Linked DNA regions of Lonchura striata. The protein of the gene in region 2 interacts with the protein of the main gene of each other region in a pairwise test. Links are inferred from orthologs where the notes say so. Each region holds a gene or a part of one and is shown on either strand. Other genes may lie near its edges. The genes, in order: UBE2V1 and FAM168A.

Region 1 (7,966 bases), on a different chromosome or scaffold from region 2:
CAAACCATCAGTAACTGTAGCTGCACTTGCAGGAGTTGAACAGCACCCTCACAGCCTGAAAATCCCAACTTTCACACCCTCACCAAATCTGTCAGTGTTACACCTGCCAGGATCCTTACCTGTCTACATATTTACTATACTAATTAGTCCTGTTCACAGTCAGAATGCTGCTTTTCAATCTTATTATGTAATTTATATAATTGAAGATGAAAATACTGAATTCAATATCATCTCATAGGAGTGTTGAACTAGTTACCTTTCTATTCAATCTACTGCATCCTGTTACTGTACACAAAGCCCTGCAATCACCTCCTCTGGCCCTATTTCACATGCTCTTACAGCCCATCTTATTTAAGAACCCAGAATTTATCTTGCATTTTCTCTTCAGTTACTCTCCCCCTACCCTTGAGTCTTTCCCTTCCAGTCCCAGAGAGCCCTGGGTGCTGGCAGCGTTTCCTTTGAGATGAGGATGATGCTGTCCCTCCAAGGAGCCAGCCTGGGGCTGCAAAAGGCAGGTGCACCTGTATTGTGCAATTCTCCCACTGCCCTGTCCTGTGCTTTTCACAAGCATCCCGTGGAGTTTACAGGGATGTTACAGGGTTAGAAACAGGCCCTTTGAATGCACTGCACTAACCCCAAGCGTGCTCTCCTCTGGCAGGAGCATTGAGCCATGAGCACCAGCACTGTCACAGCCACACACGCTGTCTCAGACTTGGAAAAAATTAGATCTGGACAAACCCTTTTACCACTCAGCCCTCCCTGGCTGCTGGCAAACACAGTGCCTCACAGCCCTGCAACAGAGCCACTAAACTGAACTGTGAGAGCAAAGTGGGTTAAGTGAGGTCGTTAAACCTTTCCCAGGGTGAAAGTGAGAGAAACACAATCCCCCAGGCCAGCATGGTTGGGTTTCACTCATTATAAAACCCAAATCTGCAGGCCAGCACTGTGGTGCAAGGTCTGTCGTGTAACTGCAGCCCAGCCAGTGCAGGAGCCTCTGAGGAACCCCTGAATTCCTGCTAGATCACCTCTGACAGCTGAGCATTCCTGCAGGACACCTCGGTCTGTAGGATGGACACACACACAGTGGAGTCTCCTATGAACAGCCTTATTAAAATCATTAAAGTCAGCCCTTTCTTTTTATTCAAATAGTAATGGGGTGGGTGGGAAACCCACATCACCACCAACACAGGATTCCCCTCCCTCAGTAGCACAGATGGACCCCACATCCTAACATTCCTTCCAGGCCGAGGGTTGGGTTTTTTTCCTTGTTAATAATTTCTACCTGCTAATCGATCCACCTGTCTAATTGCCAGGTCCAGCCCTATGGCTTTTTTAGGTCCCAGGGACATTCGTTACCACTTCTTCCTCTGGGTCAATAGCTGCTTTTGAAGACAGATGAGCATCTTCAATATGTGTTTAGGCTCCATTGCTTAAACCACCATGAACTCAAGATATCACATATATTCCAGTGCTTTACAGACAAATACGTACACATTAAGGCTCCATGAAAGAAGCTTTAGCAAGCTGTGCTTCCCAGGTGAGTGAAGGCAGCAGTGAGGCACGTTCCAAAGAGCCCGGAGAGGGGACAGCAGGGGACAGCGAGGTGCCACCTCCAGCCCATGCCTCCCCTGCAGGGCAGCAGGGACCCGCAGGCCTGCGGTGCAGTGCCACTGCCAGCCCCGGGCACCGCTGCCCTTGCCAGCAGCTCAGAGGAGCTCTGCCCTTCCCAGCACTGCAGAGTGCTCCGAGGGCAGCCCAGGAGCCACAGCTCCAGCTCCCAGCCCCGGAGCTGCCCAGACCGAGCCCTGGCCTTGGTGCAGCCATGCAGTGCTCCTGCAGCACTGCAGGTCTGTCCGGCAGCCTGGCGCAGCTGTGTGCCCACACTGCTCACTGGCCCTGCTCACAGGGAGCCGTGACAGTGCCACACACCCAGGGGACAAGGGGACAATGCAGCAGACACAGCGTGGCCAGCGGCTGCCAGGTAACCACAGCCTGTCCCTGGCACTGCAGCCCAGCCCCTTCCCACACCTGCCCGCCCATGAACACCCAACAATTCTCTCTCAGGGCTGCGCTGCCTTGAAAAGGAAAGTATTGGCCTTGTTCTGCCAGCCAGACACAAAGTGCAAAGTCAGCAGCCTGAAAGGATCACTGAGAAGGCAGAGCAGGCAGGAGAACGTGACCTAACAGGGGAAGGAGGGTCCCTTCCTCCCAGCTACAGCTTCTGGGTCTCGACTCAACACCTTCAAACACAGACCTGTAGCACAATTCTCATAACAGCAACCACTGCACTTAACCAATCTTTTATTAACTTGATTATTGTGAATTATGTGCATTGTGGTATGACGGTAATCCTTAAAATCTGAGTGGTGACTGACAGAGAACTATCTGTACAAAAAGAACTCCAAAATACGTCTGGTGAGCACAGTCAAACTTTGGAGAGTGCAATGTGGAAACAAGCACTACAGGGGCACATGTGAAACCCTCTGTGGGCTGGGAAAACAGGAAAATAAAACTGCCTCAACAGAAGTGACTCTGATTTACTCGATCTGTTGAAGTTCATTAGAGGATGCCAACAGGAAAAAAACCTCAGTCCAAATCGAGCTGCAGTACTTTTGTTTCATATGTAATGATCGGGACGGAGAGCGTGTGCAAGTCCTTAGAGCTGGTGTGCGGAGTGGAGCAGGTTTGAAAGGAATAAAAAACGCACTGCCTTCTCGGAGCACACAGAGAGAGGCCACGGGCCAGAACGGCTTTTACAGCGCCCGGTCCCCTCCGGAACCACCGCCGGGGGCGGCGGCCCGCCCGGCCCCGCTCCCGCCGGGCCTCGCCACCCCGGCCGGCGCGGCCGGGCCCGCCGGACCCGCGGCCCGACCCGGGGCCGGCTCCGGCTCCACCCCCGCCCCGCCGGGCCCCGCTCGGGCCGCGCCGCCGCCCCTCCCCCGGCCGCGGCCGCCCCTCCGCCCCGCCGTCCCCGGCGCGGCCCCGCGGAGCCCCGGGGCGAGGCGCGGCCCCGCGGAGCCCCGGGGCGAGGCGCGGCCCCGCCGCCCGGCCCGGCCCGGCCCCGCTCACCCGCGCCCGTGGTCGCCGCCATCTTGCGCCGCCGCCGCCGGCCCCGCCCCCGCCTGACGTCACCGCAACGCGGGAACGGCGGACAGGCGCGGGCGGGCGGGCGCGCTAAGCGGAGCTGGCGGCGGGGCGGGGCGGGCGCGCGCGGGGAGCTCTGTGGTTCACGCGCGGCGCTCCCGCGGCTCCGCCGCGCGGGCGGGCGGCGCCGCCGCTCGGTGCGGCCCCGGACACCGGCCCCGGGACTCCGGGACACCGTGGCGGGCACGGGACGCCCCTGACACTCCGGCCAAGCTTCTTCCAGCCCTCTCCCTTCCTGCATTATACGGAAATAAGCTTAAAGAAATGGGAAGGAAATGAGTTCTGCTTCACTTCTCTCTGCAACACACGCTCATAAAGCGGAGCCCAAAGCATCCTCCGAAAGCAGCCACAATTGTCACGAAGCGAAACGTCTCGGAGACCCACGGCAGCTTCAGCTGCTCCCGGAGCTGCTTTAAACCAGCACTGCTGGTCTCACTGCTGGGATTTATTCACCCGGTCACATTTTGGCCGCCTTTTATTCACGCAGTCAGATTTCTCTGTAGCCGCGCTCAGCACGGGCCGGCCCGAGGCAGCAGGAAGGACGGAAAAAGGCACAGGAAGAGGCAGGACAAGGCAGCAGGGAAAGGCAGCACGAAGGAAAGAGGAAAGAGGAAAGGCAGCAGGAAGGAAAGAGGAAAAGCAGCAGGAAGGAAAGAGGAAAGACCAAAAGGCAGCAGGAAGGAAAGAGGAAGGAAAGAGGAAGGAAAGAGCAAAAGGCAGCAGGAAGGAAAGAGGAAAGGCAGCACGAAGGAAAGAGGAAAGAGGAAAGGCAGCAGGAAGGAAAGAGGAAAGGCAGCACGAAGGAAAGAGGAAGGAAAGAGCAAAAGGCAGCAGGAAGGAAAGAAGAAAGGCAGCAGCAGAAGCAGCTAGGTGCATGAGAGCCCAGCTCGGCGGGCAGAGCCCACCTGCCCCAGCAGCACGGCTCCCCAACAGCTTTGGGGTGCAGGCTGGTGACTCCTTTCCCTCCCCTCCACCTTGTACCCTGCTAACTCCTGGCCCGGGAGGATCGCAGCGACCACACCTGAGCAAAACCTCCAAGTGGGATTTTGAGGCACTCTGCAGTAATTTTCTGCAGTTGACTACAGCGCAACACTGCCCTGTGCAGCCGTGACCCCAGACAGCTCTGAGTGGGGGGTTCTGCAGTGCAGAGCACCCCTGCCCCTGGGATGCACACAGGGATCATCCCTGGGATGTGTGCAGGGATCACTCCTGCTCCTGGGATGCAAACAGGGATCACTCCTGGGATGCACACAGGGATCACCCCTGCTCCTGGGATGCACGTAAGGGGTCACCTCTGCTCCTGGGATACACACAGGGATCACTCCTGGGATGGACACAGGGATCACTCCTGCTCCTGGGATGCACGTAAGCGGTCACAGCTGCTCCTCCAAGGCCCTTCTGACCACAAGATCCACTCATGGAAGGCAGCTGCAGCCCTGGCAAAAGCTGGAGGCCTGAGAGTCCTTCTGAAGGTCCAGAGAGCAGGAGCCTGAGCAGAGTTCTCCGTGGAGGTGAGACTGAAATCAGAGCTTTTAAAAGCATTTAAAAGCATTGGACTGAAATGCAGGCCATCTATTCCTTACGAGTTTAACAGGAGTGCCTTATTCTGCTTCAGCTCTAATCTGTTCCTAATCAACTTAAGACAAATTTTCTTAAGCCAGATTTACAGCTGTTAAAAGGATCCACGCAGCCTTTTGCTCCAGAATTGCCATACTGATTTTGTGGGAGCATCCAGGTCTTTGGAGGGGTAGAACAGGGACCTTGGAGCCGCAGCCACGTCGGGTGTGGGGTCACAGAGCCAGGGCTGCCCCAGGAGCCCAGCACAGCAGCCACGTGGAAAATGCATCTGGAGATTAACTCTGTCCCAGTTTCTCATAATTAAGCAAGATTAACAGATAAATCGTCCCAGCAGCCACCAGTATGAGTAGCTCAGGTTTGTTTCCAGTAAGGCAACAGTGGCCAAGAGAGGTTTGGGCAGCAGCAATGCCTTAAACAACACTTTGGAAGTCCAAATTCTGGTGATTCCTGTGTCCCAAATCCATTTGTTCATCCACTGCACCACTGCTGCTCACTCGGCATTTAAAGCTGCAGTGAAAAGAGCTCTCAGAGGATCCAGTGCTTCAGGCTGATTTACACAGGAGCCCTGAACATCCACCCAGCTCTGTCCAGAGCTCTCCAGAATCAGCTGAAGGCATTTTGGGACTCCTGCTGAAGTGGAAGAATTCTTTAATGTCAAAGCTGCACAGAGACCTGCTAGTGACTGCGGCAATGGGAACAGGAAAGTTTCATGTCATGGCATAAAGTTCTCCAAGGGTCTGAGCACTTAGATGAAATATTTGGTGAGCAAGGTACCAACAGTGATTTTAATCTGCAGAACCCAGCTCGGAAGCATCTGCATTCAGCACTCCCACTGAAGGAGAGTTGCCACGTCCCAACTCATTCAGAATCCATCCGCCATATCTGCAGGAGTGCAGATCAAGCTCAGTCTAAACCTATGACTCCAAACCATCCTACCCTGCTCTTCAGGAAGAGGCAGCTTGAATGGAACACAACTTACAGCTAGAGGAGGGAACATTCCTTACATCTGATCAGCACTAAGCTCTCAGGCAGGCAGGAACTGAACAAGATCCAAGTCACATTAACTTAGTAAAGTGCTTGTTGGATGTTTTTAGAGAAACTTCCTCACCCCAGCTCAGTTGGGGTTACTCCTCTGCATCCAGAGCAGAATGAATTACTTACACTTCTCCAAAGGTGTAGAAGTCTGGTATAACATAATGCCAGGCTCCTAAAACGCTGGCACATGATCACTCCAACCCAAACAAGCTGTGACAGGCTGCCAGGTGTCTCAGGTGGGACTGCACGAGGTGTTGTGCAACCACCGATCCAGCTCTCGCACTAAGTGCTGCCAGTGCAGCAATGAAAAACAGCAACAAGACTTGAACGTGATTAGTATTATCCAACTGCTTTGTTATAAATATATTATATACATTCAAACATCACATTAAAATATTATTCCATTACACCAGAAGAGATTAAGGCTTTATATTATTTACAGAAACAAGCAAGCACCTTAAAAAAATAAAAAGAACAAAACACCGGTCATTGACATTTCCCTTCTAACATTACGAGTTTGATACCTTGAGCTCTTGAATACAGCTATTTGCAGTGTGCCCAATGCTAGAACTATTTCAAACATTTATTGTCAGGGTAGGAAACACTTGATAGAAGACTCAGCAGTGAGCACTCCACACGAACAGACACATGTGCTGTAGGGTGCCCTCCCTCCCCTCAGAGGCCCCTGAAGTTGAAGGCTTATGCAGAAACTCAATTCCACGAGGAGAGTAGAACGATTTTGTTTTAAGGGAAACTGAAGACACTTGAGGATTGGTGGCCCCTGGAGGAGCGGGATTCTCGAGGTCTGTTCCACATGGCATCAATCAGGCTGAACATGATCGTGCAGACAGAGCTGTAGGTGGATCAATCACCGTGCATTGAGCAGTCATGATTTCCAGGCTTCCATTGCTCCCCCCGCTCTCACGCAGTGCCCCGCACTCCAACACCGAGTGCCGACCCTGCCAGCGCTCTCCCCGCAGGTCCTGGGCCGCAGGCTGTCCGGGAAGTTTGGGAATGTTGATACAACACACGTTTCCTGCGCCCCACGTGCCCCCGGCGTGCCCGGTACCTCACGGATACAGCGACGAAGCAAGCTCTAAGGTGTAAGCAGACATGGCTACACAAAAAGGTGCTCAGTGAGAGTAATCATCTTCATTTCAAGTATTGTTTTAAGAATTAGTTCTTTTCATTGCAGTCTGTGTTAGCACTTTTTAGTTTGTGCTTTAGAGTCTGTTATTTCTTTGCAGGTCTTGAATTTGGCTGATGGCTTTATTATTTTTTTTTTTCTTTTAAAAACAACATTGGCAACAAGTTAAGGATTGCAGAAGGCTGGCAGAAGTTATTTGATTTTCTGAGCCCATTTCATGTCATCTGCTCTTGGCTTCTCCCCAGTAAGTCCTTGGATGATGTTCTCCAAACATCTCCAAAATCTTATCTTCTCTAACGGATAATTCAGCCAACCTAATGGATTGCAAAGGAGAAAGAGGATTAGTTTGTCATAGCGTCCAAAGTTCAGCGTTTTTTTAATGAGAAAAAGAAGCAACCGGCCCAATACTGCTAATAATGGTCAGGCTTAAACTCTCAGCACATAGTAGGACTTAAAAATAGCTCTTTAGGTGGCAAGATTTTTGCTACCATCTGTCAAGTCAGGCTTCTTAATTGTACCATGTTTCTACATGACATTCTGCTAATGAGAATTAGATTTTTTTCTTGGCAGAGGTTTCAAAACCCACATGAACCGTTTGTCAAAGCCAATGAGAGAATGAAGAACCAGGATGGTTTAATTCCAGCTGTCTGATTAACTTGATAACTTATTTAGGATTGTGCAACACTGGTGACTGAGCATTCCCACCTGTATGGATATAAAAGGAAGCTAAAGCTTTCTGCAGACCTGTCCACCTCTGAGTCAGAATGAGTGGATGCTGAAAATCCAGAAGCTTGGCCTTTAGAAATGAGCATTCCAGAGCAGCTGTGGACATTCTGCTCTTTTTGAGCAGCTTTAGTGAACAAACCCCATTAGTGGCCTGAGCTCGAGAGCCCAGGCAATCAGATCCCAGCACCACTGAATGCTCCCTGAGGCTCCGAGTTCCTGCAGCTGATCACAAACCTTCCCCCACACTGTCTATGCAGTTCTGCCAGGAGCCTGCGAGAGCACAGTGAGCTGCCTGGCCCTGCAGGTGTCACACAGTGTCCTGGCAGGGCCCTGCAG
Region 2 (7,721 bases):
CAGCCCCAAAGGCAGGGCTGAAAGACAAATGAAGCTCCTAACCCGTGCTGAAGGGAAGAGAGGGCTCACAGAGGAAGATATCAAAGTTGCGTTTCCCTCCTGACAGCTGCTTTCCCTCCCAACAACTGCTTTGCAAAGAGCTGGGAACGTGCTCAGGGCTCCTGGCTGGGAGCACGCAGGGCTCCGAGGACCTGAGGAGCAAGGTCTGAACTGCCAAGCACACCTGGACCCAGAGCCAGAGGGAATTCTGCTCACAGCTCTGCCAGCAGGTGACATCCCAGAGGTGAACATCCCACTTCCCTGCGAGGGAGAGCGGAGCCAAGCCCATGCCTTGGAGAACTTCCCAAAGGCAGGCAGTGCCCTGGATCCCATGCACACCTCCCTGCCTGTGCACCTCCCAAGCTGAGCTCTGCCAGGCACAGCACAAAATTCAATTTAGCCCCAATTCAATTATCATTTTAATTATGCCTCCAGCGCAGGTACTGAAGGCCTTTCACAGAAGTGCTGCTCCAAAGCGTTCTCGCTCTCCTCAGAAATGTTTTCAGCACCTCTCTGCCTTGTTCTTCCCCATTACCCCTGTGGTGGGTTAAGGATCATGGGGACCAGGGAAACTTCACTTGATTTAAAAGATTTTAAACCCCCCTGGGTTGTTCACCACTGCAATGCAGGCTCACCATGGAGTTGGACAGGTGAGTATCAACCAAGAGCAGAAAGCACCTCCACAAATGTTCTCCCTAAATGACTGTATTCCGGTTATGCCATGTAAAATTTTCTGCAGTTTAGGTTTCTCATGCCGAGGAATATTTTCTGAACAAACTCCAAACACATTCTGCTTCCAGTCCCTTTGTTCCAGTGGATATAGATCTACCTGTCCAAAGAAAGTGTGTCTTTGCTGACAGCCAGGAATTTTAATCAGCTGAAGAATACACCACAAACCCCCCAGATCTGGACAATAACATCTGGAACACTTATCCCATTTTCCCTTAAAAAAAAGCACAGGATTTGGGAGAGAAAGATTCCTTCTAAAAAAAGGTCAACATTTGCTTTGGTAAATAAAAAGTTCAGATGCATAACAGGGTAAGTTGGTATTTGCAACTTACAGAACAAAAGTTAATCAGATTTAACATAAATTTAATGCAAAATACACAATGCTGATATCAGTCCTTTTAATAACTATGTATATATAACAAGAATAAATATACAGATCATAGTTGTTGTTTGGGGTGTTTTTTCAAATAGACTCAACCATAAGGATCAAGAGAATCTACAAAACAGTTAAAATTCAGAATCAGAAAGAACTGGGAAAAAAAAAGAAAATAAGCATTTGGCCTCTTCATACTAATTTCCTTTTTCTTTACATTGCTCAACATTGCTTCTCAATTTGAGTTCTAATCAACAACCACTTCACAGCTCACATTTTATGAAATAATGCAGTTGATGCAATCAAGTCCAGCAAAATGTTTCCCTAAAGATGTTTCCATCATTCACATTCCTTTAAAAACACACACACACACAAAAAAAGGCTCTGACTTCCTCCATCACTATTTAACAGCAAAAATAAACACACCACTGCATCTTAAATCATATTCAGATTAAAACAGAAATAGAATCTTTCTGGGGTTTCTTTCTGCTTAGCACAACATGTCTTTGTCCAGGAGAGGGGGGAAAAAATACCCTCAACCTGCTCATTTTTCTGCACTTGACAATAATGAGCACCAAATAAATAAAATTCAGCCTATGGAGACACAAATCATAACCCAAAAGCTCATCACCATGTGCAGTGGGGGGCAAAAACGCCTCCCAGACCCAACCCGGTAGAAAACCTCTTTCTGCTGATGAATATTTATTTCATTTTCATACTTCCAGGCTCCCCTGCTTTCTATGAAGGACTGAAACCAAGCTCCTTTTTGACATTATTCACCCACAATATAGCTATGGACTTCGCTGCCCTGAACACCACAATGCCAACAACAGAGCATGTGAGCAGTCCTTATTAAAAAGACATTAAAAAAAAAAAAGGGGGGGGGGGGGGGGAGGAGGGGGTTGGGGATATAATCCACATTTTCATAAAAAAAAAACCCGACCGGAACACGCATTTTATCCGGGCAGAAAAATCTCAACACCGCCTCGCATTTCCCAGCCTGGACGTCCCTGCTTTCATTCCTGTGGATGCTGCGCGCCTATATCCCCCCGCTCCGCGAAGCCTTTAACCATTTTATCCCCATTTCATCCCCATTTCAAAAGCGTTTCGCCCCCCGAAGAGGAGGGCTGCGGGACAGGGCTGCGGCTCAGCCCGGCCCCGGCCGTCGCACGGAGTTGCCGGCAGGTCCGGTCCCCATGCCCGCTGCCGGCCACACGTGCCCCTCGGGACATTTTGGGGGGTTCGCCCATCCCTGGGGGATGCCCCCCAAGCCCGGGCATCCCGTCCCCTGCTCCCACGGATGGGGGTGAGCCTGGGGCGGAGCACAGCCCCTGGAGGGGACTCAGCCCCTGCCAAGGGGGCACAGCAGATTTTGGGGGGCAACAGGCTGGTAAGGGCGGGGGGGTTGGGGGGGCGCACAGCCCGGTGCGGGAACAACAGGCTGCACTGGGGGGATGGACGGGGACACACAGCGGACTCGGGGGACACCAGCCCGGGGGACTACGGGAGGGGGGACCCCCGGCAGAGCCCCCGGGGAGAGCGGGCTCCTCGAGGACACAGCGACAGGCGCGCCGGGAGCAGCGGGCTCCGTGCGCCCGGGGGGACACGGGCTCTGCCGGGCTCCCCCCGCCCCGGGGCTCCGCGCTCCGCTCCCCGCCCGGGGCTGGGGGGATGCTGCCCCGCCGCCCCCTCCCTGTGCGCTCCGGGGCAGCCCCCGGCCGCCCCCCTCCATCACCACAGTGCCCCCACGCCGCCACCCCTTTCCCGCCGCTGTCACCCGGGGGTGTCCCCCTCTCCCTTCCCCTCCCCTTACCTGCGGCTTCTCGGGCGGCGGCGGCCCCTATGCCGGTGCAGCAGCTCTCCCTCTCGTCCTCCTCCTCCTCTTCCCGCTGCTCCCGCAGCCGCCAGCCGGGAATGGGGGGGGGTAGAGGGGGCAGTACCACCAGCGGGACCGTTACAGCCGCCGCTGCGGGGACTACAACTCCCGGCATGCTCCGCGCTCCGCAGCAGCTCTCCGCCGCTGGCCGCCCCGCGCGAGGGATTATGGGTAGCGTAGTCCGTGCTGCAGGCGGGGGAAGGACATAAGGCGACAGGGCCCGGACGGGCGCGGGGCGTGCTGGGAGGTGTAGTACAGGATGGGTAGAGCCGCCGGACATGGCGGGAGTTGTAGTTCAGCGAGGCATGACGGGAGCTGTAGTCCGAGGAGGCTGACGGGCGGCAGAAGGCCGCTCCGGGAATCCCACCGGGCTGTGCCAGGTGGGGCTCCGGGGCGATCCGCGATCTGATCCCGGCTCCGGGAGCCCCTTCCCGGATAACCTGGCGAGCGCAGGGCCGCGGTCCGGGAGGGGAGCGGGGAGCCGCGGGCCCGGCCTGGCGTGCCGCCCCCACAGAGCTCTGCCTGTGGCTCCTCGCGCCCACAGCAGCCTCAGCCTGTCGGGGCAGGGAAGGAGCAATTCGGGAGGAGCTGCAGAGTGCCGTGGGTCTCATCCCACGGGAGGGACGCGAGGGCGCTCCCCCGCCCCAGCCCCCTCACGACAGCGGTTCGGTGGGGATTGGCGCCGGGAGTCGCGGGCCCCGAGCCCTGCAAGTGGAGCCTGCCCTGGGAACGGGGACAGCGGTACCGGGGGTCCGCTCCCTGCCCCGGGACGCGCTGCCCTGGCTGCGGGGCATGACAAACATCCCTCCCGCGGGATTCCAGCGGCACCAACGGGACACGCTCGGCTGCAGGAAAAGGAGCTGCCGAGGGATTTCACCAGGTGCCACCTGTCCCGAGAGTGGCGATGACGGGAACAGCAAGTTCTGTCCCCACGTTCAGCTTTGAACCCCCAGAGCTCCCTGGAATCTGGGGAGACCCCCTGTGGAAGACAGGGATTTCCTGAGACGTGGGAAGAGTGTTGGAAGGCTGTGGCTGGGATGGAGATCCTCACCAGGCATGAGCCACAACAGGCAGAGCTGGAGGAAAAACAAACCAGAGGCATCGAAGTTCATGGATTTTATTAAACAACACCCCACTGCTGTGGAAAACTGCGGGGGGAATCCAGGATCTGGCTCTTCTGAGCGTGTACTCCCACATGGCATCCTCTCCTTTTGCTGGCTGGAAACCCTAGCTAACAAAAAAAAAAAAAAAAAAAAAAAAAGACCAAGCCCCCCCAAATCCCCCACTGGCACCGTTTCCTTCCCAAGAGGAAAACCACAATGGAAAAGTTTTGAGAACTAATTCCAATTAATGTCTGTTTGGAGAGGTAGCCCAATAACCCAGGACAAACCCAAATTTCAGCCCAAATCCTTTCCTAACGGAACATTTTTCCGAACTCATGGCAGGGCAAAGCTGGATTTCCAAATAATTCCCGTGATTTTGGGAATATTCAGCAGCGGCAGGATGTTTTGCAGCCCCATAACCAGCACGGGGGGATGCACAAGGCTGTGAGTGTGGCCTGGCTGAGTGGGTGATTCCCATTTAACTCCTTTGGGATCGTCCAGCAGGCCGCTGGATTAATTTAATTCCTTCTGAAAAATGAATTAAAGCCAATGCTGGAGTGAGGGAGAGGAGGGGAAAGGGCTTCACATTGAAAACCATGCTGGAATAGAATTTTTTAATATATATTAATTGTTGCCATGTGCTCAATAAACATATTTTATTAACGACCCAGCCTCAGCTGTCACCTGACTTGTGTCTTGACTTCCCCAAATAATCCAACCTCATGTCCCAGAGCCCAGGACAGTTCTGATTCCTGCCAGGACAAGCCTTGATTTTGTTCGCTCCATCTGGAAATTTATTTCAGACAAGCACTTCGGTGCTTAAAACTTGGATTTTTCCTGTTTATGCTTTTTGGCACCAGACACCTCCTCAGACCCATTCCCAGCACCAGAGGAAATTCCTGCATGCCCCAGGCATCGCTCCCTGTGCCAAGCTCGGTGTGGAGCAGCAGCTTCCCCCCCTCCAGACCCCCAAATTCGGGGGTCCTGCTCGGGTGAGCCTCTCCAGGGTCACCCACAGTGCTGGATGTGCTCCGTGTCCGGAAGAAAGGCAGGATTTGAGGAGAGAGCGCGGATGGGAGCTGCTGGATAAATCACGGGCACGCCGGCCGCGCAGGCGCCGGGCAGCAGCTTTTTGGGGCTAAAGCTCTGGGAAGCGGGGTTTTCCCGGCGGGCAGCACTCGGGGATGCTGGTGCCGGACTACAGCTCCCGGCGAGCCGCGCGGGCGGGCAGAGCCGGGCGGCGGGAGCGGAGCGCAGCGCATCCCGCAGCGGGCACCGCCGCCTCCGCCCGGTGAGTGAGGGATGCGCGGGGCTTCGGGGAGCCGGGGGCGGCGGGCCGGGGCACGGAGAGTGCCCGGGGGACCGGTACTCAGAGGGGCGGGCTCCCGAGGGGGGCAGAACCGTGCAACGAAAAGTGGGTACGGAGCAGGGAAGACGTCAGGGATGTGGGATGAGGGCACCAGATGTGGGTACCGAGGGACTGTAAGCAGAGTGGGATGAGGGTGGTGGCACAGGGCTGTGAATGCAGAGGGATGGGGGTACCTGGGGGTGCCAGGGGATGGGGGTATCCATGGGCTGGGATTTCCTGGGGATGTGGCAGTACAGGTGATGGTACCAGGGCTGCAAACGCCATGGGGACCTGGATACTCGGGGGTTCAGGCATTCGGTAAGGCAGGCACAGAGGTGCTGGGAGGGTGTTTGTGGCTTGCCGTGCCCCCGGAGCTGGTGGGAGATCCTGGAGGCCATCCCAAGCTGCCGAGTTCCCATCACTGGGAGCTGGGATTCCCAGTGGATACGGGGGCCATGGCCAGGGAACTGCTCCTGCCTGTCCCTGGGGGTTGGCTCTGCTCGGGGACTTGGGGAGCGATGACTTCATGGCCTTATTAAGGACTCATTTCTATCCAGGCAGGGAAAATAAACAAGTGTAGGTGTCGTTCAGCATGGAAAGTTACTGGGGCTGTGGGGACGCACTGCCTGTTTTCATACACAGCCCGGATTTCTCCACTTACCTCCACGGACTGATAATCCCTAAATCCCAATGAGATTAAAGGCAAAAGGAAAGGTGGCCAGAGCGCCTCCTTCGCGACATTTCCCAGATGACAAAATCCCACGTCGGCCTAACCCTGATTAACCCAGGCACTGAGCTCATCTCCCAAAAATACCAGGAGCAGCAAGGGTGAATCCCCATCCCTAGAGCCATGGGTAGAGCCGGGGTGAGGCAGGAGCTGCTGTTTTAACCCCATTATTGTTCCCATCCCAGCAGATCCGGCGAAGCCTGCGGCAGCCATGGCGCTGGTGAAGAGTGGCTGGCTTTGGCGGCAGAGTAAGTGCCATCCTTGAGCTTTCTGAGTTGGGAGCCCTCCAGAAAAGCCCGGAGAGGTTTGCTGGGAAGAGGTGGGGTGTGGGGGACACAAGGAGCCCCAACCTTGACAGGTAATCCACGACAGCAGGGAGATTGTGGCTCAGCCGCTCGCGGATTTACGTCAGCGGAGAGAGGGGCTGCCTGCCATGAAAACACACACAGCTCTGTGTCCGGGGCTGGATCTGCTCCCGTGCGCTCGGCAGGGCAGCACCCAGTGGCCTGATGGCTTTTTTGGCAGCCTTTTCCCGCTTACAGCCACCTGCTCACACTGCCCCGGATGCTTGTGCCAGGCACAGGTGTCCTGTGGGATGCAGCGGCTCACGGGTGGGATCCAAGTGTGGGGGATGAGATTGTGAGCGTGCCGGCTGTGTCCCACTGGGCTCGCTGGGCTCCTGCACCCGCTCCCTGTCCCACCAGGCTCCATCCTGCGCCGCTGGAAGAGGAACTGGTTCATCCTCTACCTGGATGGCAGCCTGGTTTACTACCACGACGAGACACAGCAGGACATGGACGGCCGGATCCACATCAAGTACAGCTGTCGGGACGTGCGGATCGGCCGTGAATGCAAAGGTGAACCGAACCCCTCGCTCCCGAGCCCTGCATTCCCAACCCCATCCCACGTGTGGCTGCATTCCTCTCAAACGAGGCTCCACCTGTGCACATCCAGCAGACCCCCAAATCAGCCCATTAATAACCCCAGGCTGCCTCGTTCACCCCTCCTCGCTCCCAGCCAGGAGATGCTGGATGGTCTCTGCTGTTGCTTTTCCTGGGGAAAGGAAGGAGGGAAGGAAGCAAGGAAGGAAGGAAGGAGGAACTCTCCTCCTGGCTTGTGCTTGTAACAAACAGGATCCCACGGCCCTGACTCATCGCTCACGTCTCGCACAAACAAGGGGAACAAAGCAGCAGCTTGGCGGGCCCCGCAGCCCACGGCCGCCACACAAAGTGCCTTTCTTGGGCTGGGAGTGGCCATGGGAGCACAAACCCACTGCTTTGTGCTCACCACAGGGTCCTGCCAAGCTTCAGGATGGGGGAAGACACACGAGCCTCAGGGAGTTAAGATTTTGCTCTTGCTGGAGCTCATGATCCCACTCTAGCAATAAGCATCTCCTGTTCCTACAAAATTTGGGTGCGCCCTGGCAAGTTTAAAGCACAGGCAGCTCGGCCTCATGGCCTCCAGCAGCTTTTTGGGGGTTTGCTGCCCTACCATGTTCTTTCTGCCATGGGGGTGGAGGTTTCTGC

Evidence for each region.
Region 1: the proteins of FAM168A (region 2) and UBE2V1 interact in binary tests that used the Homo sapiens proteins (3 or more experiments, as listed by UniProt). The two-hybrid records come from large-scale screens. The link is inferred for Lonchura striata from reciprocal best matches to the Homo sapiens genes FAM168A and UBE2V1.

The regions. Positions count from the first base shown.
Region 1 is NC_134619.1:945,484-953,449, forward strand, and holds the start of UBE2V1 (ubiquitin-conjugating enzyme E2 variant 1), read right to left. Parts: upstream 3,163-7,966; 5' UTR 3,092-3,162; coding exon 3,070-3,091; intron 1-3,069. Other genes in the region: PEDS1 (plasmanylethanolamine desaturase 1), read right to left, coding at 7,097-7,218. UniProt on the Homo sapiens protein: Has no ubiquitin ligase activity on its own. The UBE2V1-UBE2N heterodimer catalyzes the synthesis of non-canonical poly-ubiquitin chains that are linked through Lys-63.
Region 2 is NC_134604.1:18,427,349-18,435,069, forward strand, and holds the start of FAM168A (protein FAM168A), read right to left. Parts: upstream 3,055-7,721; 5' UTR 2,955-3,054; intron 1-2,954. Other genes in the region: PLEKHB1 (pleckstrin homology domain-containing family B member 1), read left to right, coding at 6,407-6,443, 6,900-7,052.